Notamacropus eugenii: one gene and its partners. The protein of the gene in region 1 purifies or fractionates together with the protein of each later gene. This does not show direct contact. Links are inferred from orthologs where the notes say so. Each region holds a gene or a part of one and is shown in the gene's direction. Other genes may lie near its edges. The genes, in order: SMC1A, PDS5B, NIPBL and WAPL.

The links.
Region 2: the proteins of SMC1A (region 1) and PDS5B purify together in Homo sapiens (affinity purification with western blotting; 8 studies listed by BioGRID and IntAct, with this or other methods). This does not show direct contact. The link is inferred for Notamacropus eugenii from reciprocal best matches to the Homo sapiens genes SMC1A and PDS5B.
Region 3: the proteins of SMC1A (region 1) and NIPBL purify together in Homo sapiens (affinity purification with mass spectrometry; 3 studies listed by BioGRID and IntAct, with this or other methods). This does not show direct contact. The link is inferred for Notamacropus eugenii from reciprocal best matches to the Homo sapiens genes SMC1A and NIPBL.
Region 4: the proteins of SMC1A (region 1) and WAPL purify together in Homo sapiens (affinity purification with mass spectrometry; 7 studies listed by BioGRID and IntAct, with this or other methods). This does not show direct contact. The link is inferred for Notamacropus eugenii from reciprocal best matches to the Homo sapiens genes SMC1A and WAPL.

Annotation. Positions count from the first base shown.
Region 1 is NC_092874.1:178,917,636-178,925,477, reverse strand, and holds the start of SMC1A (structural maintenance of chromosomes protein 1A), read left to right. Parts: upstream 1-4,836; 5' UTR 4,837-5,582; coding exon 5,583-7,842. Other genes in the region: inositol 1,4,5-trisphosphate-gated calcium channel ITPR2, read right to left, coding at 394-523, 3,194-3,387. UniProt on the Homo sapiens protein: Involved in chromosome cohesion during cell cycle and in DNA repair. Central component of cohesin complex. The cohesin complex is required for the cohesion of sister chromatids after DNA replication.
Region 2 is NC_092876.1:201,641,847-201,649,591, forward strand, and holds the start of PDS5B (sister chromatid cohesion protein PDS5 homolog B), read left to right. Parts: upstream 1-4,740; 5' UTR 4,741-4,867; intron 4,868-5,639; exon of another isoform or gene 5,640-5,658; intron 5,659-7,745. UniProt on the Homo sapiens protein: Regulator of sister chromatid cohesion in mitosis which may stabilize cohesin complex association with chromatin. May couple sister chromatid cohesion during mitosis to DNA replication.
Region 3 is NC_092875.1:423,986,776-423,994,741, reverse strand, and holds the start of NIPBL (nipped-B-like protein), read left to right. Parts: upstream 1-4,957; 5' UTR 4,958-5,090; intron 5,091-5,723; exon of another isoform or gene 5,724-5,834; intron 5,835-7,966. UniProt on the Homo sapiens protein: Plays an important role in the loading of the cohesin complex on to DNA. Forms a heterodimeric complex (also known as cohesin loading complex) with MAU2/SCC4 which mediates the loading of the cohesin complex onto chromatin.
Region 4 is NC_092872.1:253,010,654-253,018,651, reverse strand, and holds the start of WAPL (wings apart-like protein homolog), read left to right. Parts: upstream 1-4,985; 5' UTR 4,986-5,235; intron 5,236-5,692; 5' UTR 5,693-5,755; coding exon 5,756-5,763; intron 5,764-5,793; exon of another isoform or gene 5,794-5,914; intron 5,915-7,590; coding exon 7,591-7,998. UniProt on the Homo sapiens protein: Regulator of sister chromatid cohesion in mitosis which negatively regulates cohesin association with chromatin. Involved in both sister chromatid cohesion during interphase and sister-chromatid resolution during early stages of mitosis.

The DNA of each region.
Region 1 (7,842 bases):
CAGGGACTGTATTAATTGTTTAATTGTTACCAGTTGTCTATGACTACCATATGTTCAACAAGCAGAAAGCAATTTTCTGACACTTCTTTGTATTTATGTAGCTTTCTAGATTTGTAAAAGAGTTTGCAGTTTTATTTGTGGGCCCCTCTTTTTTGTTCTTTCTCACAATATCCCCAGGAGACAGATGGATATCCTACACCTACCTTTTCAATGTGAAAACTGAGACATGAAGATACTAAATGATTTGCTCTGGTTCTCAAAGCAAATAATCTTTTTTAAAGCAGATTCAGTTTTACACACTTAGTGTTCTTTGTTGTTTTTAATAAGTCAGGGACTTTATAAGTACCATCCTAAAAATTAAAGATTTTGAAGAATGTTTACATAAAACATTACCAGATGAAAGTGGTGTGTCAGGGGAAGTAGTAGTAGAGTTTTCAGGATTTTCACTGTTGTCTCCAAATTCTTTCTTGTAGATGGACAGCATATAAGAGATTCTATAGTCTAGTCTAACGCTGAGAATAAACTATAAGACACAGATTGAAAATAAAATATAGTTTTTCATAAACTTTTTTATATCACTCATCATTCTATTTAATGATGCACATTTATTTAGTTCACTTCTGAAGCCTAACAACAATATAAAGTATCAGAATGCTAAATAAACTAATTTGAGAGCTTACTTTTAAATATTAATAGTTCAATTCAGTAAATGTCCATCATTAATATTAAGACTTTGAATGCCTTTATTGCCACAAATACTATAAATAGCATGCTGACTGGAGTCAATAAAAATTGAATGCATTTTCTGGGAAATAAGAATATCTGGAGTGTATGACTTTCCAGTTATCTTCCACTGTAGTATCAAAGCACACCTGTTTGGTGAAACTTTCCAGATGAAGACACTGAGTTATTCTGCTTCAAGTGGTAATGATGTCATATTGTCACCTAATAACATAGATTTCTCCTTGAGGAACTATGATGATAATCAAATCCCTCATTCAGGCACAAAAAAGGCATGACTTTCAGCTATAACAGGTACAAAAGATCTGTATGTACTCCCAAGTTTTGATGCCAGATATATCTATGATTCACCCTGGGAGTCAGGACCTATGTTAATAGCCTAAATGGAGCAGTTTGCTGTCAGGTACATGTAATATAGCATTAAAAGTATCCGATAAGAACAAGATTTGATGAATGTAACTAGGATTTTTTTTCATTTTTTCTACTTTAGTATTATGCAAAAGATCTATTTTTAAACTGATCCATTGACTGTAGACATCAATCAACAAGTATTTATTAAGGATAATATGATTATCAGTTTAGAGCTGGAAAAGACATTTAAAGACATTTGAAGCAACTGAGGACCAGAAAAAAAAATAAAAGATCTGTCCAAGATTACACATTACGATAGAGGCAGGACTCACACTCAAGACGAAAAACACAAACAAAAGCAACTTAAAGAGAAAAAACAGTGCCATGGGTACAAGGCTTAAGGAGAAACACAGTGAGAGGCCTTCGAACACAAGCATGCCCCTTAAAAAGACAAACTAACCAAAGGCAGAGGGGCTGCAAGGTATTGCTGTCCATTGGTTCATATATAAATGATTGCTTTCAAAGTTTAAATGATATACAGCTGCTTCTGTTACTTAATATTTGCATGAGCAAATCACTCAACCTCTCTGTTTCCTCATACGTAAAATGAGGGAGTTGGACTAGATGCCAGTTCTATATCTATGATCTATAAATTAGAAATCAAAGAACTATCTGGAGACCAAGAAGAAATTGTATGTTATCTGTTTGTGCCCTATCTGATAGAACTGTTTCTCAACCTGTGTTAGGGATCAAACACTACTCACAAGATGTCCTGATCTGAGGAAATAGTATTTATCAGTTAACCATCAAGTAATGTGGCAGGCATTGTTCTAGTCACAAGTATAAATGCAAGTACAAAGAAAATAACAACCCTTTCTCTAAAAGACCTTACATTTCAATGAGGGATACAGGAAATATATATAAAAATACAAACAGAGTCAGGGTCTGGGGGCCACCCAAGCCCCAACTAACAGTTACCATCCCAAAAAAGCAACTTCTGAAAAGATGTAACCTGGCAACTGCTTCTTCAGGGGTTAAAGTCATTGCCTCCTCAAAAGGCAACATCTATTGAAGACTCAGTAAAGAAAGTCACTGTCCATGAGCTTAAAGTTAAAAACAAATGTGATTTTATCAGTGAAAATGACTATTAAAGAAGATGCTTCACTATCTGCTTTGCTGCTATCCCCTAACGGTCATGGAATCTTTTCATTTGACTTGCACCAGATAGATATGTGATGCATCCCCCTATTAGAATGTGAGTAGACACAGAAACCCTGAGAAGAGATACTGTCTCCACCCTTCTATTTGTATGCTTTAAACATAGTAAATTCTTAATAAATGCTTATTCATACAGTATAAATCTAAAACTGATAAATGCAAATATATACAAAGTAGTTAAATATAATAGAGTCAGAGAGGGAGGGTACTAGCAACTGGAGGAATCAGGATAGGTTTCACCCAAAAGAGGGTGTTTGAGCAGTGTCTTAAAGAAGAATGGGATTCTATGAAGCAGAAGTAATAAGGGAGTACAGACCAGCCAGTATAAAGGCATGAAGTCAGGAGACAGAGTTTCATGTGTAAGGGAAAAAAAATAAAAGTCCAGTTGGCTGTATTGCAAAATGCAGGAGGGAGAATAATGTCCAGTGAGGTCAGATGTGTTAGCTACCCTCCCAGTTTTACATTATCTACATCAATAAATAAAATCAAATGCTGTCAGACATAAATTATTATTATAGACTTAGAGTTGTCATGGGCTTTCCTTGCCATCAAATAACTCTTGAATTAAAAAATAATAATAATAATAAAGTGTGTCATATCTTAAATAAAAAGGAACTGACATAATATTGAATAAAAGTTAATGCCATTATGAGACATACCATATTCACAACAAATAAAATAAACTATATATGAGCATTTTTTATATGAACTTACATGTAACAGGTGGCAAGTTTAGGGCAAATGTGAGGAAGAAAGGGGAAATGGCAATGAGAATAGCTCTTAGTGTTTTACAATTAACAATGGTTTTCTTATTCTCTATGATCATCAGACCAACCTAAGTTGAGAGGGGTATTTGCTAGGTTGTTTTTATCAAATTCTTTACCTGTAAAATTTCAATTATTTTTAATTTTGTGTCCATAACAGTGATGTCCTCATTATCAGTTGTACTTGCTTGCTTGATTGGATGGGTGCTAGGCTGTACATCAGGGACAGACATTGGAAAGATAGATCCCCTACTGAGGACCATTTGGGTCATCATCTCTCCAACACCATGGATAGTTCGCATAACATTATTTCCTAGAAGAAGAAAAGCACATAAGCAAGCACATATAGTACACAAAGAGTTATAACATCCATCAGGTAAATATACATTTAAATGTATGACAAGAATATTAAATGTCATTAATAATCATATTTTTATGTGTGTATGTATATATATATATATATATATATATACAGTATGTGTGTGTGTGTATACAAATGTGCTGGCAAAAACTGATATTCCAATAACAACTCAAAAATCCAGGTAAATATTTTATTAGCAAATTCATTTTTTTCCAAGAAGCATTTTAAATAGAATACTAAAGTTGTCTGTTATAGATAGTTCTGATGACATTCAAATGAGGTCCTCATGAAATAAAATTTTACCCATAGTCCAAGATTAATGGGAAATTATGATTTCTGATCCTATCCTCAAGCAAAGGTTCTATTTTGCTTCTCTTTGCAAAAAACAAAAGTTATACTAATTATTGTCTATTTCAATGACTTTTGGTTTTAAGAAAAAATATACTATTTGAATTGAAAACTACTATTCCAAATTCACAAAACAGCAATTGTGTTCAGAGTAATTACTGGAACAAGTTAGTGACAAATATGATAATATTCAATTGAGGGCTCACTTCCCATTTATTTCTTTCTTCTGTGTATGGTTCCACACTGGTATATTTGTTGGAAAAAGACAAAAATCCCACCGAGTGCCAACAATTTATTCAGTTCCAACAATTCACATGTACTTCTCTATTCTAGAGCTCCTGAGGTAAGCAAGTTTGTTTCAAATAAATGATTATGTTTTCTTTGTAGTAATCTTAGAGTAAATAGGTCAAGGAGTCGGGCTCTGGGCAAACATAAAGGATCCCCCTGTTTTGGTGAATTATTCTTTGCCTAAGTAATTCAGGGGAATAAACCAAGAAGAAAATGGAAATACTGCAGCATGTAATGGAACACTCTTTTCAAAGCGATAAAAAGAGTGGAAACATTCAAAAGATGGAAAAGTGAAGAGAATGAAAATAATTTCCAGAAGCATTAAGTGAATCTTGATGGTTTCTTCCAGACTCTCACGATCATAGGTTTCAAAACTAAAAACTTGGCGGCCACTACGCCCGTTAACAGTTGGTAAAAATGAATCCATTCTGTTACACCTTTCGAGAAACAATGTATCTGCAGAAGGGCAGCATTCCAAAGAAACATTTCAAAGAATCCATAAGCAAGCCTGGGGGATCACTGTGACAGACCCGGGACAAAGGAGGGGTTTGGAGAGAGAGGCTGGAGGCAGAGTGAACACACCAATAATAAAGATCCGCCGACAGAATGAATGCCTGGTGGGCAGTGGAATCCTACAGCCCCCGACCCCAGCCCACCCCCAGCACACCCCCACCCCCACCCCGCGCTTTACAGGAGATGTTGGCCGGGGGGGGGGGGGGGGGGGGCGATGAAGCTCAGGCAGAGGCAGACAGACACAGACAGACACACACACACACACACAGACACACGTAAAAACAGAGACGGAGAGCAAACGGAGAAAAAAAGGTCTCTGGTTGGCAGAGGAAAGTGGCGGGAGAGGGGAGGAAGGAGAAAGCGCGCCAAAGAGAGAGAAAGCCGTCAGTCTCACGGCGGGAAGAAACTGGACGGGTAAGCGGAGAGCAAGGGGAGAAGCCAGGGCGTAGGTGGGGCTAAGAGCCACTGCAGGCTTCCCACCCCTTCCGCGGGCCCGCCAGTGTGCACATGCGCATTAGGTACACAAGGCGGGAGCAAGAGAGCTGGATGACGACAAAGGGGGAGGGGTCGTCCCTTCCGCTTCAATCGGTTCATCTGCGCAGGCGCAGAAAGCGGGCAAGTCCTGAGGACGCTGGGAGCGGGCGGGGTTGTCTTCCCCCGGCACTTCCTGGGATTACGAGCATATCAAGCGCACCAGGCCGACTAAGAGCAAGAAATACAGAGAGAACTGGCTTCACCCTGCTCGTCGGGGGCACGCAGGAGGCAGGCGAGTACTGGAATCGGGGGGTTTAACTGGAGTCCCGCCTTTCTTCCTGCAAGCGCGCGCACACGTATGCGCAGAAGCGCGCGCGATCCCGCGCACGGCGCGTCTCGCGAGACTTGACTAGAGCCCGGGATCCCGCTGTTTGTGTTTGTTCCCGGACCCCCCATTGCCCCGGGCCTGCCTCCCTGTCCCCGCCCCCGCGCTCTCCGGTGCTGCAGCCCCGCATTGCATCGCCATGGGGTTTCTAAAACTGATCGAAATCGAGAATTTCAAGTCATACAAGGGCAAGCAGATCATCGGGCCCTTTCGTAGGTTCACAGCCATTATCGGGCCTAATGGCTCAGGGAAGTCAAACCTTATGGACGCTATCAGTTTTGTGCTGGGCGAGAAGACCAGCAATTTGCGCGTTAAGACTTTGCGGGATCTGATCCACGGGGCTCCCGTGGGCAAGCCAGCCGCCAACCGTGCAGCGGTCAGCATGGTGTATTCTGAGGACAGCGGTGAGGACCGCACCTTTGCCCGGATAATTGTGGGGGGCTCTTCAGAGTACAAAATCAATAACAAAGTGGTCCAGCTGCTTGAATACAGCCAAGAGCTGGAGAAACTGGGCATCCTCATCAAAGCTCGGAACTTCCTCGTGTTCCAGGGTGCTGTGGAGTCTATTGCCATGAAGAACCCCAAGGAGCGGACAGCCTTGTTTGAAGAGATCAGCCGCTCTGGGGAACTGGCCCAGGAGTATGATAAGCGGAAGAAGGAGATGGTCAAGGCTGAGGAAGATACCCAGTTCAATTACCACCGGAAGAAAAATATTGCGGCTGAGCGCAAAGAAGCCAAGCAAGAGAAAGAGGAGGCTGACCGCTACCAGAGGCTGAAAGATGAGGTCGTTCGTGCGCAGGTGCAGCTACAGCTATTCAAACTGTATCACAATGAGATGGAGATTGAGAAACTAAATAAGGAACTGACTTCCAAGAACAAGGAGATTGACAAGGAGAAGAAGCGCATGGACAAGGTGGAAGAAGAACTAAAAGACAAAAAGAAAGAACTAGGCAAAATGATGCGTGAGCAGCAGCAGATTGAAAAGGAGATAAAGGAGAAAGACTCAGAGCTTAATCAGAAGCGGCCCCAGTACATCAAGGCCAAGGAGAATACTTCACACAAAATTAAAAAGCTGGAAGCTGCCAAAAAGTCTCTGCAGAATGCCCAGAAACAGTACAAGAAGAGAAAGGGTGATATGGATGAACTAGAAAAGGAAATGGTGTCAGTGGAGAAGGCAAGGCAAGAGTTTGAAGATCGCATGGAGGAAGAGAGTCAGAGCCAGGGTCGGGACTTGACTCTGGAGGAGAACCAAGTGAAAAAATACCACCGGCTGAAGGAGGAGGCAAGCAAGAGAGCTGCCACCCTGGCCCAGGAGCTGGAGAAGTTCAACCGGGACCAGAAGGCTGACCAGGACCGGCTGGACTTAGAGGAGCGAAAGAAAGTTGAGACAGAGGCCAAGATCAAGCAGAAACTTCGAGAAATTGAAGAGAATCAGAAGCGAATTGAGAAGCTGGAAGAATACATCACCACCAGCAAGCAGTCTCTGGAGGAACAGAAAAAACTAGAGGGGGAACTCACTGAGGAAGTTAAACTTGCCAAACAGCGCATTGATGAAATCAACAAAGAGCTGAATCAGGTGATGGAGCAGCTTGGTGATGCCCGCATAGACCGACAGGAAAGTAGCCGGCAGCAACGCAAGGCAGAGATAATGGAAAGCATCAAACGCCTCTATCCTGGTTCCGTGTATGGCCGTCTCATTGATCTGTGCCAGCCAACACAGAAGAAGTATCAGATTGCTGTGACTAAGGTGCTGGGCAAAAATATGGATGCCATCATTGTGGATTCTGAGAAAACTGGCCGGGACTGTATCCAGTACATAAAGGAACAGCGTGGAGAGCCTGAGACCTTCTTACCACTTGACTACCTAGAAGTGAAACCAACAGATGAGAAGCTTCGAGAACTGAAGGGGGCCAAGCTGGTGATTGATGTGATTCGCTATGAACCACCACACATCAAGAAGGCCCTCCAGTATGCCTGTGGCAATGCTCTCGTATGTGATAATGTTGAAGATGCCCGGCGCATTGCATTTGGTGGCCACCAGAGACACAAGACGGTGGCACTAGATGGAACACTTTTCCAGAAGTCCGGTGTCATCTCTGGAGGGGCAAGTGACCTCAAAGCCAAGGCCCGCCGCTGGGATGAGAAAGCAGTTGACAAACTGAAGGAAAAGAAAGAACGTCTGACAGAGGAGCTGAAGGAACAGATGAAGGCCAAGCGGAAGGAGGCTGAGCTGAGGCAGGTGCAGTCTCAGGCTCATGGCTTGCAGATGAGGCTCAAATACTCCCAGAGTGACCTGGAACAGACAAAGACCCGGCACCTTGCACTCAATCTACAGGAAAAGTCCAAGTTGGAGAGTGAGCTGGCTAACTTTGGCCCACGTATCAATGACATCAAGAGGA
Region 2 (7,745 bases), on another chromosome or scaffold:
TTAATGTGAATAGTGGAGCTCTGGAGCTACTGGGTAGGGGGTGCATTTCTGGGGAGAGAGGAGTCTTTGGCTTACCCTGAATAACCTACAAAGATGGCTTCTTCTGAGTAGGGGTAGCCAGTCTTCCTTAGACATAAGTAAGCCAGATAACATAGTTATAATCCAGTATATGTGCAATCTTTTCTTACATGGGTTCCCTTGTTCCTCCCAGATCCTGGCCAAGATAGAATATTTTTATTCCTCTAATTTTTCTACTGTTTCTATAATGTTGCATTTATTCACAGTCTACTTTAGCTATTGCTTACATCTTTAGTTTTTTTGTGACTAATACTATTTTCATAAATATGATATAAAAAACCCCACAACAATAACAACATTCCTGGTACAAGGTTCTGTTTATTTTGTCAGCCAGGAAATAACCTATTTCCAAGTGATACCAGTTAAAATTCCAGACTTTCCAGAAATAATTTTGTTGTTAACCATCTCTAGAGATGGTTTCTTCCAAGTACTGAGGAATTTTGAGGGTCACCCAGTGTTACAGGGTTACTTGGGTGATACTTCCTAGCAGTGATACTGTAGGGGATGTTGCTATGGGGGTCTGCAGGAGGTAGGGAGGGGAGGTCAGTTTCAAGATAATCTTAGTTTTGGGGAAACAAGAGGCCAGAAGGCAGGTTTTGTACTGAGTAGATGAAATCCAAGAAGAGGTTGTCAAACATAGATCCCAGGAAGGGCCAGAAGTAACATGTTATTCTATCTATCTTAGCAATCCATTTGGCAACAAAAATTCAGCAGGCTCTGAGGGAGCAAGGAGAATCAAAAGCTTGTGACCAAAGTGAGAATCAGAAAGCTGGATGATAGCCAGATCTAAACTTGAGCAAAGAGTTCCTCTGATTTCTCAGTCACAGAGGGGATCTGGCCTAGGGTGTTTTAGGGGGAAATGCTAGGTCTACAAGCCTAATCTTCTGTATAAATGGAAGCCATATCCTTTCCCCCCTATGCTTCTACTTCAAGAAGTGTTATGTATAAAGTTCAGACAACCTGAAGATCCAGATGGGTGAGAGGTAGACATAGGTCGTTCCATATTGTAGCTGTCATGTGGCCTTTCATGGCTGGAGATAATTCTACTAACCATGTTCTCTCTGTTTTTTTTACCCTGCTCACACAAATTCTCTGATTTGACAGTGTAGACACTGTTTGTAGAAACTTATGCTATTTGTGATGTTCAGGCCATACATCTCCACTGAGTGAGTTATTTAGAGGGTTTATTTGTCCTTTTTATATGTGTTAAATGATACATTTAACAGGGTAGATCATGCTGCTTGCCCATTACTTTAGACCTAAACGCTGAACAGACCACTGAAAAGTTTGAATGTTTCAATTTTAAACAACATATCATAACTTTGCTGCTTATTATATAATCTTGGCAAATCAGTTAATTTCTCTGGGTCAATTTCTTTAATGGTTAATTGGGAGTAATAATCATTACATTATTGACCTCATGGGGTTGTTGGGAGAAGCAAATGAGATAATGTATGTAAAACTTCTTGTAAATCTTAAAGCAGAACATATATTTCAGCTATTATTTTTGTGCTGTCACTTCAGCTCTGGAATACTATTTTTCATTTCTATTCATCCATTTGATACTGTCTGTCAATGAGTTCATTGGTATTGGTGATCATTACTTGGTGATTCTGGTCATATAGTTCAATGAGATGTTGCCCCTATAACAATTCTAGGTCTCAGCACTTCATACAACATTAGACTCTACCATTTTAATGCTAGGTAGCGAGTTTAATAATTTTTTAATTTTTTTAATTATTAATTTATTTGTTCTCAGTTTTCTACAATCACTTCCATAAGTCTTAGATTTCTCCCCTGCCCACCCTGCTCCCTTCCCAAGATAGCATGCAATCTTATATGGGTTCTACACATACATTCTTATTAAACACATTTTCATATTAGTCATGTTGCATAGAAGAATTAAAATGAATGGGAGAAATCATGAGAAAAACCTAAACAAAACAAAACATAACACAAGAGAAAATATTCTACTTCATTCTGTGTTCCAATTCCATAGTTGTTTCTCTGGATGTGGATGGTGTTTTGCCTCGAGTCCTTTGGGAAAGTTTTAGGTCCTTGAATTGCTGTGAAGGGCTAAGTCTACCAGAAAAATTCCTTGCACTCAGTTTAGTGTTGCCAATGTTCCAAGATATTCAGTGTTTCTGAATTCAATTCTCTACTTTTTTAGTTGATCATTTGTTTTTTAATGGTCCTTATGGTTCTGAAAAATAAAATTTTCTCTGAGTAATAATTCTATTTTTTTTTTTTGCACAAGATTCTACTAGGGCTAAGCTCTTTTTACTTCCCTCCACCTTGACTTGCCAGAGATTTGCATTTTACTGTATATTGTGAAAACTATGAAAGGTCTTAAGATCACTTTAGGGCTTGAGGAAACATGATGTAAGTTTGAAGGACTGTGGAGTAGTCAGATCTTTTCTTCACTTGAAATAACTGTATAGCAAAGTATGTTTAATTCACATTTTGGAACTTCAGGAAGATATATTGTTCACTGAAGTCAGAGGAGATGGTAATTTATAGTTTTAGTTTCAGCACACTGTCATGACAATGTTTTGTGAAAGCGGAATGTTATGTTGTTTTATCCTACTATGATAAATTAGTTTGCATAGCAACATAACCTCATCAAGTGTTGGTATAGCCTACAAAATGTGGTAATCTGAACTTATATATTTATAATTTATATATATTATAAATATATTTATATATTTATATTATACACATTGCAATTTGACTTTTCTTATCCAATTCAACAAGCAATTATTAAATGCCTATTATGTGTGTGGAATTGTGCTGGGTGCTGGTGATACCTTTATTCTGGGAATAAAACTCTTTTGAAAGTGCACTCATACAGGAAAAAAAAATCTCATCAGCTCTGGGTTGTTGGCAGTGGCGGCTGAGGTGACAGATGAATGTATTGGTACTCAAGTAACTTTGGTAAGTCCAGAGCCTGATCACATTCTTGGGGTTCCTGCTTTCTAAGGGGGACAGCACCGCCTAGATAGGATAAGACTAAGGGAGAAATCATTCCAAGGGAAGTGAGAAAAGTCCTGGAAAGCTGGGAGGACCTCTCCTCTCTATCTGGAATCAAGAATAATGCTTCCCATACAATGATAACAGTCGTAATAGTAATAGCATTCATATGTCATTTTAAGGGATGCAAAGCACTTTACACGTATTATATCTTTTGATCCTCGCAACAACCCTGCAAGTTGAGGTACTATTTTTATCTTTGTTTTATAGTTGAGGAAACGGAGGCTTTGAGAGGTTAAGAATCTGAAGTAATAGACATAGATTTTTTTTCTGATTCCAAGTCCAGCACTGACTAGATTGCACCATCTAGTGGCCTCTCCGAGCCTGATTTCTGTGGAGAGAATTCGTGTCCCGTACTATTTCTATTGAAACAAAGTTTCTAAAAAGTGTCATCATAACGCATTCTCTTCATATGTATTATGTATAATATATATACACACGTGATATATACGCATACATACACACATACATATATGTCTGCCTATCTGTCTGTCTATCTAATCTATCTTTCTACCTACCTACCTTTCTATCATCTATCTATCTATTATCTATCTGTCTATTATCTATCTATCTATCTATCTATTATCTATCTGTCTATTATCTATCTATCTGTCTATTATCTATCTATCTGTCTATTATCTATCTATCTATCTATCTATCTATCTATCTATCTATCTATCTATCTATCTATCTATCTACCTATCTACCTTTCTATCTGTCTGTCTGTCTATCTATCTGTCTATCATGTGACATTGGCCATTACCAGAATGGAAAGGGCAGTGGGATTTACTTTTGTAAGAAGGCATAGAGAAAGTGAGGCCATAAGCAATATAAAAAAAAACAGAGAAAAGTGCGGAAGAGGAAACAGCAGTTTTGTGATAATCTCGATAAAGGCTCTTATGAAGAACCATATAACAAAGTTCGGAGTCCAATCCAATGAACATTAACGCAGCGCCCATTCTGCGTCCCTGTCCTCAAAGGGCTCTCAATCCAAAGGGGAAGGAAGATAACACAAAAGGTGGAGAGGGTATAAAGAGGACGATCACCTTGCTTATTTTTTTCTAGACTGAAATGCGCGTTGAGGACCGTGTAAAACAAACCACCACCTACAACAAAAAAAAGAAGCGAAAATACACCGTGTAGAATTGCTAATTTTGGAAGGTACTTCAGATTGGATCAAAGTTCCCGTCTAAGTGCAAAGCGAGCAGACCACGGAATACTGCCAAATCTCCCTTTCCAGAAGAAAACTCATTCTAGTTTCTTATCTTCGGCTCCCAAAACGCAGAGGTCGGCTCGCTATCTGCTTCTTTTCCTAAGAGACGCCAAAGACACCGAAGCTGCGGGTTGATTGGCAGCTGCCGTGTGGGCGGGCGCGTGCTTGGAGCGCGCACCGCGGAGCGCGCGGGCGCGTGCTTGGAGCGCGCACCCCGGAGCGCGCGGGCGCGGTTGGCCGGGGAGGCGGGTCGGGCGGTTGAGCGACACCCGGTCTGGCTGGTCTGCTGGTCGGTCGGCAGGGGGCGCTGCGCCCCCGCGCCGCGCTCCGCCTGCCCCTGGGTGCTCTCCGCCGCGGTTCGATTGGAGCTGCCGCCGGAGAACGCTTGGCGCCATTTTGAAGCGGAGAGGAGGAGGAACGGCCGGGCTAGCTGCGGAAGGGGAGGGGAGGGGGGAGGAGGAGGCGATTGGATGCGGCGGCGGCGGCGGCGGCGGCGGATCCCGGAGAGCGGCGGAGTGAGAGGAGCAGCGAGCCCGGCAGCCGGAGGTAGGAAACAATTCAATTAACGGGAGAAAGGTCTCTTCTTGCCCGCCCGGGCGCTCCATTTTCCCGCGGCCGGCGGTGTGTGTGCCTTTGGCGGGGGCTGAAGCGCCGCCCGCCCGCCCTGCAGTAGCCGCGGCCGTCCTGCCTCCGGCTCGGCTCGCCTCGGACTCGAGGGCTGAGCAGCCCCTTGGCCGGGAGGTGTCTCGTTCTCCGGGCGGGGGAGGGAGCGGGGGCCAGGACCTCCTGCACCCCCCTCGGACCCCCTGCACCGACTCCGGCGCACACACACGCGCACACGCGTGCGCGCGCCGCTGGCTTGATCCACGGCTTCTAAGAAATTAAACTTGCCGCCTTCCTCCGGGCGGGGCGGCCGCGGGGCCGGGTGACCTTGGCGGCGGGGGCCGAGGGGCAGCCCGGGGTTCCAGCCGCCCCCTTCCCGCGCCTCCCCTCCCCCCGCTCCCCGGTGGCCGCCGCCGGCCTGGGCTCGGGCTCGGGCTGTTTCGCGGACCGCAGGCGGGCGGCGCGGTTCTCCTGTTGAATCCTCTGGCGGGTTTTTTTTTTCTCCTTTCCGGGGGTGGGGTGGGAGGGGGAGGGAAGAGCCTGCGCTGCGAAAGCTGGGGGGCCGCAGCGTCCTCGCTTGGCCCCTCTCCAGGCGCCCCCGCAGGCTCCCCCTGAGCCCCACGAGCCCGGGGTTTCCCCTTTGCCCCCACGTCGTCTCAGCCTTTGCTCTGGGCGAGGAGAAAAGGATACAATGTGTCCGTTTGCTGTCTACTGTAACTTGTCAGTCACCGGAGGTAAATCTCACCGGCCGCCGGGAGGCTGTGGGGAGGGGCAGCCTGGGATCGAATGGAGGAGGACTGGGGCTCACTCTAAATTACTGCACCCTGGTGACAGTTGGGTTTGGTCTGAGCCTCAGGGAGCCTTGCAGTGTGAACCGGAATGAGCGCTGGCAGAACTGCGGAATAATCAGAGATTGTTGCACCTCCGCGGCTGGTTTTGGTCTCCCTTGTGCACACTTCAAAAAGTTTCTGGTTGCGGGGCATGCCTCGTATTTTAATTCTTCGGGACATGCATTAAACTTCTTGTTTTAAATATAGTTATTTAAGTGTATGAATTTGAGCCATGAGGTGTAAACCTGCACCGCACTGTACTGCATTACTTAACGAGATGCCGTGAGTTCAGTGCGGGTTTGAATCAGGAGAAAGGGATATCTGCATAGCACTTGAGCGTAATCCAAACCCTTAAGCAGGAGTTAACATTAGAAAATATATTTTGAAGGGAAGCCCTCTGAAAGTGCCTTTATTTTTGTCGGTTCGTTTTATTTCATTTCTACTCTTTTTCATGAAATATGTTAGTGGGCTGTGTTTTCTGCTTTGCCGTAGTGTTTATGAAATGCATGCCGAGGTCTCTGTGATGGATCTTTTCTACATTTAAGAATATTTTTGCTGTATAACATCCTATATTCTCTTCCCAAGTAAAGGTAACCCTTAAAAATCTGTTGATAGTTTATTAGAAGAGACAGAGTATAAAAATTTTTTGAATTTTGCTATTTAAATTTTGAGTGGCATTCTAAATAACGTGCTTGTTTAACAAACCTAGATGTAGGTTTGAATGGATTTTCTATCTGAACCAAGTAATCTACCAAATAAGAAAGTTAACATAGCATACAACACAAATCAGAATTAAGGTTTACATGAACACATTTTGGTCTTGGCACCCTACAGTACACATTTCACATGAGATTGACATGACTAAGGACAATAAGCCTTCCCTCAGGTATATGAGTTGTCCAAGGGCAAGTTCAACCTCTAACTTATGTTACTTTTAGTCATTTAGTCAGCGTGTTAACATGCTCAGTCTTATTTTCGTTATCAGCACAGAACTTACTTAAAATGTGTTGCTTGTGAAACAAGTAGTTAAAACTCTAAATTGTAATGGTTTGATTTCTGGATTTCAAAATTAAATTTTTTCTGAGGAATTCTATGAGTAATGAAAACATCTTAGAAACATAAGTAGTTCATTTAAAAAAATGAACTAATAAGATGCTCATTTGAACACTTAAGTATATATATGTGTGTGTGTGTGTGTGATTTCAGAAATGTTTATGTCTGCAGAAATACCAAATGTACATTTAAACTTTTTTTTTAACTTTTATACTTTTTGTTGTACTATTTCATTTCTTTGTGGATCTGAATTATGTTCTTTTTTAAAAAATAAAATTTTCTCGTCTTCAGCCTTTATTTTGTTCTTTCTCCATTGTGGTTATCTCCTTAGCTCATCCTTTTAATTCTAGTATTCAGATTCTTCTTCCTCCCCTTTTTTTTACACCCCTTTCTTCTTTTTCTCATTTTTCTTATAAGTAGAGGAAATGTTGGTGTTGAGGTTAAGGATACTTGCTGTCATGAGAAGTCATGTGATCAAGCTTGCTTGTTTAAAAATATGATTTGCCACTATGAGTTGACTCCTGGAAAAAAAAAGTAGGTTTGTGTTTTGAGATTATTCTGTAGAATTGATTTAAAATAATCCTTTTAGACTATGGAATTATCAAGCAATTTATTATGTCTGAGGAGGAAGTGATATCTTTCATTACTCAAGTTACTCTCTTGAGAACTGTGATGTGATGGAATTATGTCTAAAACTGAGAAAACAGAATTGTTCACTGCTTTCATTTGATGCAAAGGGTCTTTAGAATTTTTTGAGTTGTGATTTTTTGGGAAGGACTATCATCTGATTTGTGGAAATAGCATTGAGAAGACAATTATTTGCTTTTTTAAAAAATATGTTCCTCTTGTTAGAAAATAAGCAAATTTCAGCGATTGGTACTAGCTGTATGAATATTTATAAACATGGTATAGCTTTGTAGGATTATAAATTTTAGTGC
Region 3 (7,966 bases), on another chromosome or scaffold:
AACTGTCTCAGGGAGGGAGGTTAAGTAATTTGCCTAATCTCACAAAGTGAATTAGTGGGTGAGTTAGGACTCAAAACTAGGTCTTCAGACCTTCATACTCCACTGTATCTTCTATGTTTCTGATAAGGGGCCAGCTGAGATGGCTGTATATTATTTAACTTAAATCATCATCATTCTGCATTGTTGTATGATATTTGTAATTTGCAGAGCACATTCATGTATTTTCATGTTATTTGATACATTATCTTACTGATATAAAGCAAGGAGGGAATACTGTTAAAAAGAGTACCTCTGCTTCCCTTTTCTTCTGCCTTCTCCAGATAACTTTTGGTCAGATATCAACAAAACACCGACACTGAAATTCTTGGGTCATGAAGTAGTTTCCTTGTAGAACCCTAGTTTGGATATTTACATATAAACTATTAAAACACTAGGTGGTGTACTAGAGGAAGAATTTCTGGTCTGCATTTTAAAGATTTCTATGATTCTGCAATAGTATTCTAGAAAACATACTCAAGTATCTGACACAAAGTGGATGTAAATAGAATAACCAAATTCAAAACCACACAATAAGAGTAAATATCTCTACTTAAAAATGAACACAATTGGGAAAGAAAAAAACACATTACTGTGTATTCAGGTGAAATAGTGATAGTACCTAATGCTTGCCACTTACATTTAATTTTTGTAAATTATAGTAATTTCTAATCAGTATCATAAACATTAGGATTTAATCTCAAATCCATGGTCTCTCTTTTAAGAATTATACTTTGGGGTGGGGAGGGTGGAAAAGCAGGGTAAGCTTCCTAATGACTGGATCTATGTGAAATTTCTGACTGGGACTATGTCCTATGTAAAATTTCTAACTGCCCCAGCTTCTATCATATAGTAGGAACCTAGTGTTTGAGTACATAAGTAACAGAACGGTCTAAAACTAGAAGGTAACTTCCTGCTTTTCAAGGCAGTTTACATCACAGGAGCCTTCAAATGAAGGCTGACTGACCATTTGCCAGGAACGTTTTAGATTAAGTCTGACATAATTTGGACTAGATGGCCTCTGAGGACCCTTCTAACTCTGAATCTCTGATTCATGATACAATTTAACATTTTGGCAATACAATGATTGAAAACATTTAATACCAGTACCCACTAACTATAAAGTTAGGGATACATTATTCCTATGCTATATACGCCATGAAGTGAAAATATTAATAAGTATTTTTCAATTTTATACCATACTATAATGTAATAAGTAATGTGTATTGCCCAGACCATGATATGAAGTTTAATGGACAGCCCATGGTGCTTTTGTAGTGACCGAGATAGATAGGGCAGATCCTGCAAATGGGCACAGAACTGTGAACAGAAGAGTGGGCACGATGGCCTTTGAAACTGAAAAATTATTTTGATGACCTCAAGATTTTCCCCAAAACAAAAGGCCAGTTTTTTAAAAAATATCCTCATTCTTCCAACATTTGTATGGCTACAAATCAGAGCATACTAAAGAAGTGAAATGGAGGATAAATAAAGGGCAATGGAGAGGTACGTGTTAACTGTGAGCAAGTTGCATAACAAACTAGAGTTATAGACAAGCAATGTTAAAGATATTATCATTGATCATTGAAAAGATGGGCTGTTCATGTGGCAAGAGGGAGAAATGACTGATAGACAAGTTGTGGTTCAATCTTATCCTCACCAAAGGCCCTCCAGGGTGTTAAGTGGACCCCCTGTGGTGAACTTAGAGTAGGACATGCAAGAGTCACATAGGATGGACAGGTTTGGACTGGGTTGCAATCTATAGTAGTTGGAAGGCACATATATCAATGAGAGTAAAGATCCATTTGAGTACTCTAATGTGAAGACCTAAGTTGGCATTTTATATATCATAAGCAAAGGACTGTATAACTTAAATTACCCAAATATGTTGAATTACTAGTTTACTTGCTAAAATTCAGGAGAGGATATAGAAGCAGCATAATGATCCTCCAAAGCAGACTTAAATGATGGCATTCTGAAATTAAGTGAAAATATATGATGTTTGCATGTGACTTAAAACTTGTATAAGACTAGTAGGTAAGACCTTAATTGGAAGAATATCTGTAAACCATTTTATCTTATTTGTGAGGTTATAATCTTTTTTATGTCATGAACCTTATGCAGAAAATATAATTTATGGATATTAATTATTTGGCATATATACACTATAAATTAAACAGCTTGAGGTTTAGGTGCAGGTATTTTTAAGCAGCTTTGTACAAGCAACTAGAAAACAGGTATTTTAATTTCATTTCTATCTCTAATACCTTTCAAGTCATTGTTATTAATTTAAATGACGCACCTAAGTTTATTAGAGGTGATCAAATAGCCCTAAAGAGGTGATTTAAATAGCCCTGAAAAAAGTGAACTAAAAAGTTGTATAAATCTTCAGATTAATTCAGGCTTCAGCTTTCACTATTTTTTCCCCAGAATTAAATAGTAAAAGTAAAGTGGATTAGCATTTTAATTGTCCTAGAGAATAAGAGAATAGTAAGCTTTTCTTAGATGTGGACCAAGATTAGGCATACACAGCCCCTTTAAGATTATCAGTAGGTCTTTTTAATTCCCTCCCACCCCCCAGTACAGTGAACAATTGTGACTTCTCTAGAATAGACATCTTCTTTAGGTTACTCTGGTGACTAGTCAAAATGAGGCAAGGAGTCTGTCATTAAGGAAGAGAAAAGCTTCCCCTAAGACAAGCGATAGAACTGCCCGAGCTCACGAACCGTCCTCCATAGGGCCCTCAAGCACAAGTCGTCACCACAAACTCGTCTTAACTTGTTTCTGGTGAGTGTCTTCGGTTCGTCTGGTATCTTGATGCAGGACTTAAAGAGCTTTTCTTCCTAGATTTTCCGTCCTTTTCAGAACTTCTCCATAAAGCTCTCTCCGGTGAATATTGAATGAATATTGAATAGGAGCATTGTCTAAGAGAGACCAACTCAGTCTCGGGGTTCTCGGACTGCATTTCTAATTCACCTGGTAACTGATTTGTTAAGAACGCCATTCACTTTTAACAAAATATTACAGATATTACTATTTAAATCAAATAATGGAACCTGTTTATAATTTTACCAAATTTATTAAAATGGAATAAAACACGTCAAGGTCTAAACTCAGCTAAAATTGAGCCCAACTTTAAATTAATCCTTCAACAGCTGTCCTGCTTCCTCCGAACAAATAAAGTGAGCAGCCTGTAACAAGTATCTCTGAGGGAAGCGGGAGGAGAGGGGAGGAAGGGCCGCGGAGGGGAGGGAAGGGAGGGGAAGGGAAGGGAAGGGAAGGGAAGGGAAGGGAAGGGAAGGGAAGGGAAGGGAAGGGAAGGGGGCTGCTAAAGAGCTGGGAACAAGGACAGCCTGAGCTCACCAGCCAGGTCAGCCCTCGGGTCTAGGACGGGTCGGGGGAGCTCCAGACCCGCGGCGCCCCCCACCCATCACCCCGCAGACCGTGGCGAGGCCGGCCCCGAGCAGCCCCTCACCCCCGGGGCGCCACAGCTCCATCTAGCCCTGAGCGGGGGGTACACACGGGGCCGCCAAATACCTGCAAGCACATGGAGCTAACTGGTCCAGCTAGGTCCAGCAGGAGAAAAGGAGAGCCTGGCATCGGAACGTGCCCTGACTTCCCCGGCACAGCGCTGCCCACAAGCCCATCTCCCCAGGAGGGAAACCAAGCCAAGCCCCGGCCTCTCGACGGCGGACCACGGGAGAGGCGACAAAGCCAAGGAGGGCGTTCGAATCCACGCGGGAGCGTCCTCGCTCCGGGCTAGGCCGTGTGCGGGTGTGCAGGTGTGCACACGGATGCGTGCAGCTCGGTCAGCGGGAAAGAGCCGCACATCCACCAGGTCGCGAGGTCACCCCGAGAGTCCAATGGAATCGCGGGGGTCCGAAACGTGGCCCCCCCGAGCGGCGACCCCTAACCCCGGGGAGGACCCGTCCTCTTCTCTTCAGCCTTCAGTGTCCGGGGCCTTGAAGCCCCCTCCTGGGAAAAGTGTGTGTGTGTGTGTGAGTGTGAGTGTGAGTGTGTGTGTGTGTGTGCGTGAGAGAGCGGGGAGGGGTGGGGGATGGGGAGGGAAGCCACCCCAAAACCTTCCGAGGGTCTCCTCCGCTGAAAGCCCGACGACGCCCGAAGCTGAGGTCTTCCCATTTTCCCCTAGGAAAAGAAGGACCAGAAGGAGGGCGGCAGTAACCGGCCCGGTCCTGGGCCACAGCTACGATAGAGGGCAGAATCCACACCCACCCAGGGCAGCGGCAGCAGGAGCAGCGGCGGCGGCGGCGACGGCGGGAGAAGGAGGAGAAGGAAGAGGAGGGAGCGAGGCAGAGGCTGCTGAGAGAGGAGGAGGAGCGGTCGGCGCGGCCGCCGCCGCCGAGGCCGCCGGCCCAGGCTCCAGCGGCGCAGGCCCCGGCTGTCGGCCCCGGCTGTCGGCCCCGGCTGTCGGCGGCGGCGGCGCGAGCGGCGACGAGGGAGACTGGCGGCGGCCGGGGGCACTGGAGTAGTAGTAGTAGCGGCGGCGGCGGCGGCAGCGGGCTGGCGGGCGGGCGGCGGCGGTGGCGGAAGTGGAGTGGGGGAGAGGGGGAGGTTGTTGGTGTTTGGCGCCGGTGGAGGGAGTCATTCCTGCAGCTGCACTTCCGGTCGGCATTTTGTTCTGAGAGGGAGAGACCGAGCGAGAGACACACACACACACACAGGGCTCCTTCCCCCCCCCGCCCTCCCCCCCCTCCCTCCTTCGGTACCGACTCGCCCGACACCGCCGAGCCGCAGGCAGGGACGCCCCCGCCGAGAGGAGGATTGGTTCCCGAGCCGGCTGCGATGCCCCCTCGGTAGCTGGGGCCCCGGTCGGGTGTTTGTAAGTGTTTCTATGTGGGAGAAGGAGGAGGAGGAGGAAGAAGAAGCAGCGATTTGTCTTCTCGGCTGGTCTCCCCCTGGCTCTACATGTTCACTGCACTGAGGAGGAGACGGAAGAGGAGCCTCAGCCGCCCCCCCTCCCGGCCCGGATTATAGGCTCCCCACAGCCGCCTCGGCCTCGGCCTCCGCACCGATTCAGACGCCGATTCGCCCAGGTAAATTCCTTCCTTCCCTTTCTTTCGGCGGCCGCGGCGGCGGCGGGGCCAGGACCCGGGCTCCTCTCCTCCCCCTCCCGCTCCCGTCCCCGGCAGCCCCGGGTCTCCTCGGCGGAGCCAGCGCGGAGTTGTCCGCCCCGGGAGCAGGCGCCTCGGCCGGCGGCGGTTGGAGGTCTTTCCCCGCCGACTTTTGCGGAGGAGATTCGGTTCCTGCCGGGCGGCCGGGGAGGCGTAGGCCCGGCGGAGAGCGCAGGCCGCGGGCCAGCGGAATCTACTTGAGCTCGGGGATTAGGAGAGGCTCCGGTCAGAGCGGAGCGATCGCTTCTCAGTGACAGGCCTCAGCCGAGGGAGAAGCGGTAGGAAGACGAGGAGGCGGAAACAATACCCGGAGCGGCCAGGGCGCCCCGATCCGCTCTATATTTACAACTTTCCCGGGGCGAGCGGTGGGAAAGGTCTCCGCGAGACAAACAACCCCCTCCTTCCCCCAGTGACCCTGGGCCGGGAGGAAGTAGTTTCAGTTAGAGCGAGGCAGATGTGAAATGCCCAGGAACGAGCCCGGGACGCGGCGTTGGCCTTTTTTCAAACTTGTTTGGGCGTGCAAAAGTTAACCGAGACTCGTTTCCCCTTTTAAAGGCATTCGGTCCTCGCTCACGGCTGGGAGACGGAAACCCGAGTGACATAAACAGTAGTGCGCTCCGTGAGGAGCCGAACGCGGCTCTCGGAGGCGGGGGAAGTTGTTGACAGGTACACCCCGGCCCTGGGGCTCGGAGGGAGCCTCGGAGGGGCCCCGCTGTGCCTGGGAGCGGGGCGGTGGGAGAGGGGGGACGGAGGAGAAGCGCTCGGAAGGACAGGCGTCCCCCTGGGTGTCCCGTCCCTCTGGTGTCAGGGGAGATCTTTTGGAGGTCTCGGGACTGTCATTGGCTGTGTGTGCCCATGATGTTTGCCTGGGTAATGAGAGGTGTCACCGTAGTGGGTCGGAGGGGTCCGAAGTGGCTCGAGGAGAGGAGCCGTTCTGAACCAACTGGAGGTTCTGTGCAGGGGATGGCTAGGTGGTGGTGTATGATGGAACTGGAAAGGCAAGTTTGTGAAGTAAATTAAAGAAACTTGACTCGTGGAAGTGGCATGGAGAGCAGGGCTTACCTGGGCAAGGCTGTTCGGGTACTTTTGTGTCGTGTCTGTTTGTTTTTGAATGTTCAAGTCTTTAAGGAGCAACGTTGCTCAGCACTTCTCTTAAGTTTGTTCACTGATGTCACACTGGCCCAAAAAGATTTTTTTCTTGCAGCTTTATTAAATTTCCATCGTCACTGTCCAATAAGTAACTTTCCTGGGGATTATTCTGGAGTTTAGGGTCTGGCTTGCGTCGAACTCTACCATAGTGTCTGCCAACGTTCGGATCAATGTTAAAAAGGGTCAAGTTAATATAGCTGTCACGTCCCAGGCATGTTTTTAATGCCATAAATCCGTGTAGTAGTCAGTAGCGTGTCCGTGATTTGTATTGGTCAGGGAGCAGTTTGAATTTTAAAAAGCCTGAAGCTCCTGCTGAGCCCCAATCCCGGCCTCCCTCCCTCCCACTAATCTCCCATTCCTGTCTTTGTGCTGCCTGCTCCTGTTCGACACTGTTTGCAACAGGGCCTCAGGCCTGCTGGGGGTGGGGGTGGGGGCGGGGGAGGGGGCGGGGGAGGGGGCGGGGGAGGAGCAGGGGAGGGAGGGAGGGAGGGAGCAGCGCTGCCCATTCTGAGAAAGCAGCTCTTGAACACAGACACACGCGCACACACGCACACACACGCACCCCCCCAAAGCGCTTACCGCAGAAATCCTCGGGCTGGCTTTATGACTTGAACTGAACAGCTGTTTCGCTTGGGGGTCTGAGACGTGCCCAGTTCACAGCAGAGGACTGGAGGAAAAGTGGTTGTGCTGGGTTGGTTTTCATCATCAGAGAGCGACGCACCAGCCCTGCTGTTTGTTTCACGGCGCTTCAGAGAAGTGTGCTCGGGGGTTAGAAAGAGTTGAAAAAGCAGTCTTCTTTCATGTTGGTTTTCTGTGTGTGATTCCTGAGTTATAAGCAGAATCACGGATTAGTTGTTAGCTTGTCCCTGAAATACTGAGGAAAAAACTTTGTTTTCATATCAAGTGAATGATTAAATTTCTCTTTCTCAGATTTTTTCCCCCCAAATTTGAAAGCAATTCCCTCAGAGCTCCTCAGTATACAGTTCATTCCTCTTCCCCCAGCCCCCATCTGTTAGAAAACTAGCCTCCAACAAATCATTTAACTGCAGAAGTATTTAGATGTAAACAAAGACAAGGCTATGCTCTCCAGATTTTTTAAGATCCTCTGAGAGAAAGGTAGCTCAGTGATATATTGGGAAAGGGGCAAACTTGAGAAAAGTTTCACCTGACAGTAAACACCTCAAATTTATTTAATAGCAGGTTGAGGGGTTTTTTGTTGTTATTTTGTTGTGGCTATTGCGTAGTCATATTAATCAATTTATAATAAAACCAGATTCTAGAATCAAGAAATACTTCAAATTAGGGTTAAAACTTAAGCAGTTAATAATTTTTAATATCTGAGTTACTTAGTATGGTATGACATTTTTGGGTTTTGTGCCTTGGCAAAATTTGTAACAGTAAAAAAGTTAAGAGAATTTTTGGTGATATGGTAAATATGTTAAGGGGCATCTTAAAGTTGGAAATTAAATATGAATTTCATTAAAGAATGTGCAATTTTATTTGCTCTTTTTAGAACTAGAAAGTAAAAGCTTTAAAATCCCCATCATAGCTCAATTCCTTTGCCATCTCCTGTTGGAAGCTTTTCTTGATACCCTTAGTTATAAATGCAATTATCAGATATAGCCATACTTGCTTTACCTAAAAGGGGA
Region 4 (7,998 bases), on another chromosome or scaffold:
AGGAAGAGAGGTAAATATATGTACAGGGAACAGGTCAGCTGGGCTGGAGAGGTAGTGCCCAGAGGGAAATGAGATGAAACCGAAGTTGAAAAGTCATGTGTGACCAGAATGCAGGCCTGGAATGACAAGGCTGGGCATTTTCCTTCAGTAAAAAGAATTCCAGATCACTTGATTTTGTCAGAATTGAAGGGAAATTGATAGCTTTTTTAGGTGAGCAGAGGGAGATTTATAGGTTTTTAAAATGAAAAGATAAATCGTTTGTGATTGTGGGATTAATAAAAAAAAATAGCTTTTTAACATGTGAACTCTATTCCATGTTGTATGGCACCAGACTTTCACTTTTGTTCCCCAAAATAAGATCATGATGCCTTTGACCTCCTGCCTGTAAACTGAAGGCCTTGGGTTGGGTGACTTCTTAGGTGCCTTACAGCTCCAAGGGCATTGGATGGTGGAGCTTGGAGCACTGAATTGGGGAGTTCACAGGGACTTCAAAGGACCTGGCTTAGTTATTTCCTCCCTGTGCCTCAATTTCCTCATCTCTAAAGATGTTAAGAACCCTATGGGGTCTAAATCCCATGGTAATCCTATGCCAGACAAGGGACTTTAAACTTCCTTTGGAAGACAAGAGGGTCTGAGAAAAAGGTCTTACTAAGTGAGGGAATCTAACCAGATCTATTCATAAGGTAAGTCGGGAGCAGCAGGGAGGAGGAACTGAAGGAGGGCAAGTCTGCAGGAAGGCCTGGTAGCTATAGCAATTTTCCAGCAAGGCCTGCACAAAGGTGGTGGCAGAAGAAACAGGAAGATAGGAGGCCAGAGACGTTTCAGGGCTGACAGCCACAGGACTTGGGAAGTGATTGGCTAGAAAAGGAAACAGCACTCAAGGTGAAAGTTCCACTGGGCTTCCTCTGACTCAGTAGCCCAGCCTACTGAATATCCAGGCCTGGAAAGGCCCCAACTTTCAGGGTCTTTCTCTAACACTCCTAGAATCTCAGATGTAAGTATCCTTCTTTGTTAGATCGACTCCCCAACCACATTTTGTCTTTCCTCCACCTACACTTGAGACTAATGAGATAGTAATATACTCCTAAAAGAATGTCTTTGGGAGTTTATTCAAATTTTCATGAAAGGTAAGGTCACTGAGGTATGTTCTAGGGATCCCCACCTTCTGAAATGGGAAAGTAAGAAAAAATCCTCTCTATACCAAGAAAAAGAAATTCACCAAATAACATTTATTATGTACCGACATGCCAGGCACTGCACTAAAAAACCCCACAACACATATGAAGCCACCCAAAATGACCTCCTTCCCCCCCCCCCCCCCCCAGGAAATACTAAACTAAGAATAAGAACAACAAAAGCTTATCAGCTGCTTTCTTACTGATGTCTTTCTTACAGTTTCCAAAAGATTTCTTTATAATCTCATTTCTGGATTTTCTTAACTGAAAATACCAAATTGGGGTCTCCTGGTTTTCTGCTATGCATTTTTTATTGTAAAGCAAAGAGCTTTACAAATCTCTTTTTAAAAAAGGTCCCTTCTGATCCTGAGGCTTTTTTTTTTTAAAAGCCCTTAGCCCACAGGGCACATAGTAAGTATTTAAATGTTTGTTCCTTTGTACTTCTCTCAAGTAACTTTTAAGTTATTTTCCTTTAAAAAGTTCTTACAAATGAAAAATATATTTCTCCTGAACTTCAATTTGTAACCATCTGCTAGATTAAGGGAGGACGACATAAGCAGTACACCTCACAGCCATTATTATTTTCCTCAGGGATATTATCTGAAAGCTATAATCAAAGTGTAATTGTAAATTCACTTGGGACTTTCCTTCTCAAAAGTCTAGTTGGGGGCAGGAGGCACTAACGCTCCTCTGAAGACAGGAAAGGTGGTCTCCTGTAGTATCACATTTTCTAATACAATACAAATACTTTGGCTTGTTTCTAGCCTTATCATTAAGAAAAATTCAATTTCAACAAGTATTTATTGAGTCCTGATGGTGGTGTTTAAAGAGACTGTCCCTATTCTCCAAGTTGCTTAGAATAAATTCTCCTTGGAGAGACAGGCCCCAGACAGGAAAAATCATGGCCCTATTTGGTCCTGCATTTCCAGCTTCTGAAGTTTGTTCACTTGAAATGTAGATGGAAGTGTTTAGGGAAACAAAGAAAATGGAAATTAACCAAAGGAACCCAAAGGCTGCCACAGGGAGGACAGCCAGGTTGTAGTGGGTGTCTTTTGCTTGACCACAGGTCAGTGAAGAGGGCACAAAGGCTCTGGGCAAGTTTATTTTTGTTAAGAAAATCCCAGGACCTAAATGCAGTGTTCATGTTCTAAGTTACCTGGATGAGTGCAGAAATGTGACTGTTACATTTGGGTCGGAATGACAGTAGCTTACAGGAGAGCTCCATTCTCTATACAGAAGTGCTCATTTTAGTTGACATCATTAGTTCAGTATTTTAAAACCGGGAGAAAACAGACACCTGAAAGGGGTCTCGGGAGTGTTTTTGAACTCCAGGGCCTTCCCAACAGCCACTGGGCCTACCCCATAAAGAATTTACATAGTTTTGAATTTAGAGGGTTAACAGCAAGCTTTATATACCTTTGGTAAAAAATCTTGCAATTATCTCCTTGCTCCTTTTGACTTTTTGATCTTAGCTTTTGCTTCTGATGATAATTACCCCTTAATTAGCACCACCACTGTATCATCTAAGTAATTATAGTAAGTGGAGCCTGTACCCCAACAAGTAGTCTTCAAAGAAAATTATAAAATAAGGTCCCACATTGACTTTTTAGAGCAAAACTGGCTCAGATAAAACACTCCTGCAGAGCTATACCCTGAGGAATAGTTTGTATCTAACTTCTATTCAGGACATGCAATAGAGTTGGCTTTTAAAAAGGAAAAATAAAAAAGATACTGTACCCAGAAGTTTAAGGGTACAGGTCAAAAGTTCAGTTACAAGTTATCTATACTTACAATAATGCATCTGTGGTACTTGAATCATTCAACTGCTAAGTAGCATCAATGCCTTGAATAGGAACAGTTTTCTATGGACTCATAATATACTGGCTACATATTGTTTAAACTATTTCTTATGATTTTAGAAGAAAGTCACTTTAAGTACTTCATAAACATAGTCTATTTATAGCTTTAGGCATATGAATGGAAGGACTTAAGGAAAAATGGTAACTAATACCTTATTAATTTCCCAAGTAATTACCTAAAGCTCCATTAAAGCTCCCTCTTGCCCAAGAATAAGGTGACATATAGATGCAGAAGTCATGAATGTGGTTTTATTTTGGTATCTTTATTAAACTTTATGTGGGAAGAGAAATGATATAGTGATAATTAAAAAAAAAACCCATTACATTGTTAAAGTTGTTAGACGGAAAACGCAATCTCATATCATCCATCTCAATTCCCTTATGTCTCAAATGAGCAAACTGAGGCCCAGATCACTAAAACATGTAACTCAAGGTCACCCAGATAGCTACAGGCGAAGGCGGAATTAGAAACCAGGTCTCCTTATGCCCAGATGAGTGCAATTCCACAGTAAAGTACAAGTGGGTCAAATAAATTTAGTTTTCCATTGATGAGGTTTTTGAAGGTTTATACACAAAAAAAGTATCGAGCAAATAATCAATGTGTTTTCACAACGAGTTCCTAAGCATAGAGAATTGGGGGGGGGGAGAGGGGGCAGGAGGGAGAGGGAGAGGGGGGAAGAGAGAGAGAGAGAGGGAGAGGGAGAGGGAGAGGGAGAGACAGAGAGACAGAGACAGAGACAGAGAGAGAGAGAGAGAGAGAGAGAGAGAGAGAGAGAGAGAGAGAGAGAGAAAGAATAGAAAAGAAAACAGATCCAGTTACCTGATCCCCTACGGATCGGTGACATCAGTAGCTGGAAGCTGTCAATTTCCAGAATGACTCACTGGGAGCACTGAGAATTTTCTGATCCTTTAAAATGAAAAGGAAAAGGAAAAAGGTTCTTGGTTGCTTTCTTCCATATAGACTATTCGTAAATGTTTTCGTGCTATCTTCACCAGGCTGCATTTTGTGGCTCATTACGAGGGTCAAGTCAAAAGAGAGGCAGGGAGAGAGGGGCACAAACAGCAGAGACGCCGGGGGGGCGCGGTGGGTAGCCCCCAAGCTCGCTCCAGCACCATGGGCTCCACGAGCCTCTTTGGTAGCTCGGAAGAACCCGGACTGAATGTGCCAGCAGGTGGGCACATTTTGTTCCCCTACCTGACCGAGACCCGGGCCTGAAAGCCGGTGCATCCCAGTCGGAGTTCGCGGGCGCCGCCGGGTCCCCCGGCTGCGGCAGGTCCCTGCAGGGCGAGCCACCGACACCCAGGGCGTCCGCCACGGTCCCAGCCTCTGCACTCCCTCCCCCGGCCGGGAGCTTCCGAGGGCGCTGGGCCCACCCCCGTCCCCGCCTGGCCTCAACCGAGTCCCGGCCCTTCCTCCTACTCACTGCTTCCGAACACGGTGGCTCACCCCCGCCCCCGCCCAGGGAGTGTGGCCGGGAACTACACTTCCCGTCGGCCCTCGCGGCCGAGACCATGGCGGCCCCCGCGCGTGCGGCGCCACGCGCCTGCGCGACGGTTTGTCCGACCGGCGCTGCGATTGGCTGCGGCGGCCGGGGCCGCGCGGGGCCTGTGGGAAGCGCCGTGACGGAGCTGGCGGCTGGGGGAGGAAGGGGGGCGGCCAGCCGGGGAGCGCAAATGGCGTTGAGATGGTTCAGGGCCCTGCTCAAACTCCAGCCCTGACCACTTACCGGGCTAGGAGGCGGCGCAGGCGGGGGCGACGGCGGCGGCGACGGCGGCCCAGCGCGAGGAGCTAGTCATCGCCGGCGACGCGGACGGGGCGGCCTAGGCCCGGGCCGGCGGCGGCGGCAGCGGGGGAAGTTGCGGGGCAGCCGCCGCCGGCGCTCCCCCCCTTCCCCCTCTCCCGCTCCTCCCTTCCCTGCGGGCTCCTTTTGGCCCGGAGCAGACGCCGGCGGCGGCCGGGGCAGCGGCGGCGGCACTCTTCTTCTTCCCCTCCCCCCCCCCGGCCCCCTCTTCCTCGCGCGTCAACCGTCTCCCATCTCGAGCGCGCCAACCCTCCGGCCCCCCCTTCTAACCCCCCCTCGTCCCGCGCGCGCGGGGCCCCAGCGGCCGCCCGGCTTGCGCCGCCCGGGGGCCGCCGGGAAGGTGAGGCGGCGGCGGCGGCCGGAGCTCGGAGTCTCCACCCCGCTCGCTCGGCGCCCAGGGTAAGTGAGGTCCCGTGGCGGCCGCTAGGCCCCGCCCGAGACGGGGACCCGGGAGGGGGCTCGGGGCGCCCGGTGCGACGCGACCCGGAGGAAGTTGGGGGAACGGGCGGGCGAAGAGAAGTGTCTGGATTCTCGCCCGCCCTCCCCCCCACTCCCGGCCCTTTCCGAGAGGCCGCCAAGTCTGGGGCGCCTCCCTCCCTCCCCCCCCCCCCCCCCCAGCGCCTCTCGGTCAAGTGCACGGCGGCCGCCGGCAGCGCACCCGCTTCTGCCCCCGAGAACGGAGGGAGGGGGCACTGTTCTTCGGGCGCCGCCTCGGGGAGGGGACGATGGGAGAGAAGTGTGGAGGCCGGGACCCCCGGAGAAACCTGGGGGGGGCGGACGGGGCGGAGTGGGTATGGGAGGAAGAGCCCCCAGGCGCCGGGGTCACTGAGTGCCCCTTTCTCTCTGGCCCGGACAGGTTGTTGGGAGGAGCTGCCAATGTGTCTGAAGGCCCGAGTGAAAGGTTGAGACCCGCGCGCCTATGCACATGTACGTGAGATGGTGACTGGGAGTTGTCCGCCCACCCTCGGGGTGTCGGGGCGGCCCCGCAGCCTTCGGCGAGCTCTTCCAGCTTAGACCTGAAAAGGCTCCACTCGAGATGAGATTGTCCACGGGGTTCCTGCTTTTGGCAAACTCTCAGGTGTTAACTTTTTAGGTCATGGAGTAGGAAGGGACCTGAGAGGTTTAGTCCAATCCCCTCTTTTGAAAGAGGTGAAACTGAGACCCGCCGAGGTCAGCTGACTTGCTTAAAGCCACAGGAGTAGAAGTAGAAGATTCAAAGCCAAATCCAAGGAATTTCCAGTCCAACAGTCTTCCCCAGTGTGCCATGTTGAGAAATATCCCAAGTATCTACGTATCCTGCACTGAAGAAGTGCACAGTTTTATTTCCATTTTTCTATAGAAATGGCCAAGTTCTCTTGTTTATAGACAAATTGCTTAAATAAAACATTTTGGTTTTATAACGCCTAAGAAAGAAAAACACAAAATTTACCAATAAACTCTATAGCGCAAGGCGATACAGATATCTCCTGTTTCTACTCCCAAAGGTTATAGTAAACGTTAGGAATTTATCATTGGGTTTTATATCTCCTACGGAAAAAATTCCTGCTGAATACTCGAAAAGATCAGTTTGTCAGTGATTCCTAGTACATCCTAGGAAAAAAAAATTTGTGGAGTTCAGTGAAACATGGGGCAAATTCTGATACAAAAAACCATTGTTGTGATATTTCAAAATTAGGGAAAGCTTTTTGCGTGTAGCTTATAGCCCATTTCTTTCAAGCTTATTAATTACAGTACAGTGAAACTATGCCCCTCTAAGAGTCGATTATAATTATTGTTATATTAAAATTTCAGTGATTTCAGTAATGTGAATTTAAAAAAGTTTTCATCACAGTTAAGTGGAAGGGGATTATTAGTGAAAGAATACATGCATGTCATGTACAATATGAAAGAAAGATGAAGTCTTCTCTCCCCCCCTTTTGCTTTGTATATTTTCACCTTGGGTACACAGTGTTCCTCTCTGGTCCTTTCCTCTCTTCTCCCTCCTTCCCCCCAATTGAATGTAAGCTCCTTATGAGTAGAAACCTCTCCTAGTATTCCTTAGACTAGTTGACACATATATTGTTGCGTAGTATTAATCTTTTAGTTAATGTAATCTTATCTTTTTCTGGAGACTTTGCATAAAGATAGAGGTTTCTCCAAACATGTCTTTTCTTCTCTGTTGAGTACATATTTGTCTACTATAAATAAACCTGAATGAATCTGAATCCATGAAGTTTACAGATAAAAAAGTAAAAAGAAAATAAAGTTGTACATTTATAATATGGACCATGGAACTAATGTTAAGGAACTTGACTTGCGCTAGTTTATCAAATACAAAAGCAGTATCTTCAGTCAAACTAAGTTAACATGAGATCCAACATTTTTGAAATTAGCATAGAAGTGTACGTTAGATTCAGTGTGGTACCATATTTTCTTTTTTTGGTCTAAAAAGCAAAAGCTTAGGAATCTATAAATATAGTATGTATGACCTAACATTAACATGTCTGAAAGGTAAATACTACTGAATTACATTTTATTTATGCTTTTCTGTTTTGAAAAGATGAGTGTCTAAAGTTTAAGCTTTTTAATTATTACACTTAAGTAATGTATAAATGAGTACTGTACATTGACTGTTGGTTCAGTTTGGAGCTTTAATGAATTCTGTTATCGTAGGTGGTAAGGTAGTCAGTCATACTTGTTTGGCAACTTAATTTTACATGTGGTGTTTAAATTTTTGGTTACAATATTGGTTATGTTTTCTTGATTTTTCCACAGAGAATATGAAACAGGTGTCAAAATGACATCCAGATTTGGGAAAACATATAGCAGGAAAGGGGGAAATGGCAGCTCTAAATTTGATGAAGTATTTTCCAACAAACGGACCACCCTTAGTACAAAGTGGGGAGAGACTACCTTTATGGCCAAATTAGGCCAAAAGAGGCCTAATTTAAATCCAGATATCCCAGAAATTCCTAAGAAGCCTAAAGTGGAAGATGAAAATTCAGAAGATCCTTTTGGATTTGATAGTGATGAAGAATCTTTACCAGTTTCTTCAAAGAATGTGGCCCAGGCTAAGAGTTCCTCCCAGTTGGAGCCTGGTGAAGCTGCTCATCTGGGTGACTTCACCTCTGTACTTGAAGCTAACAGCTGTATTAGTCAACCAATCACGGAAGACATTATTGT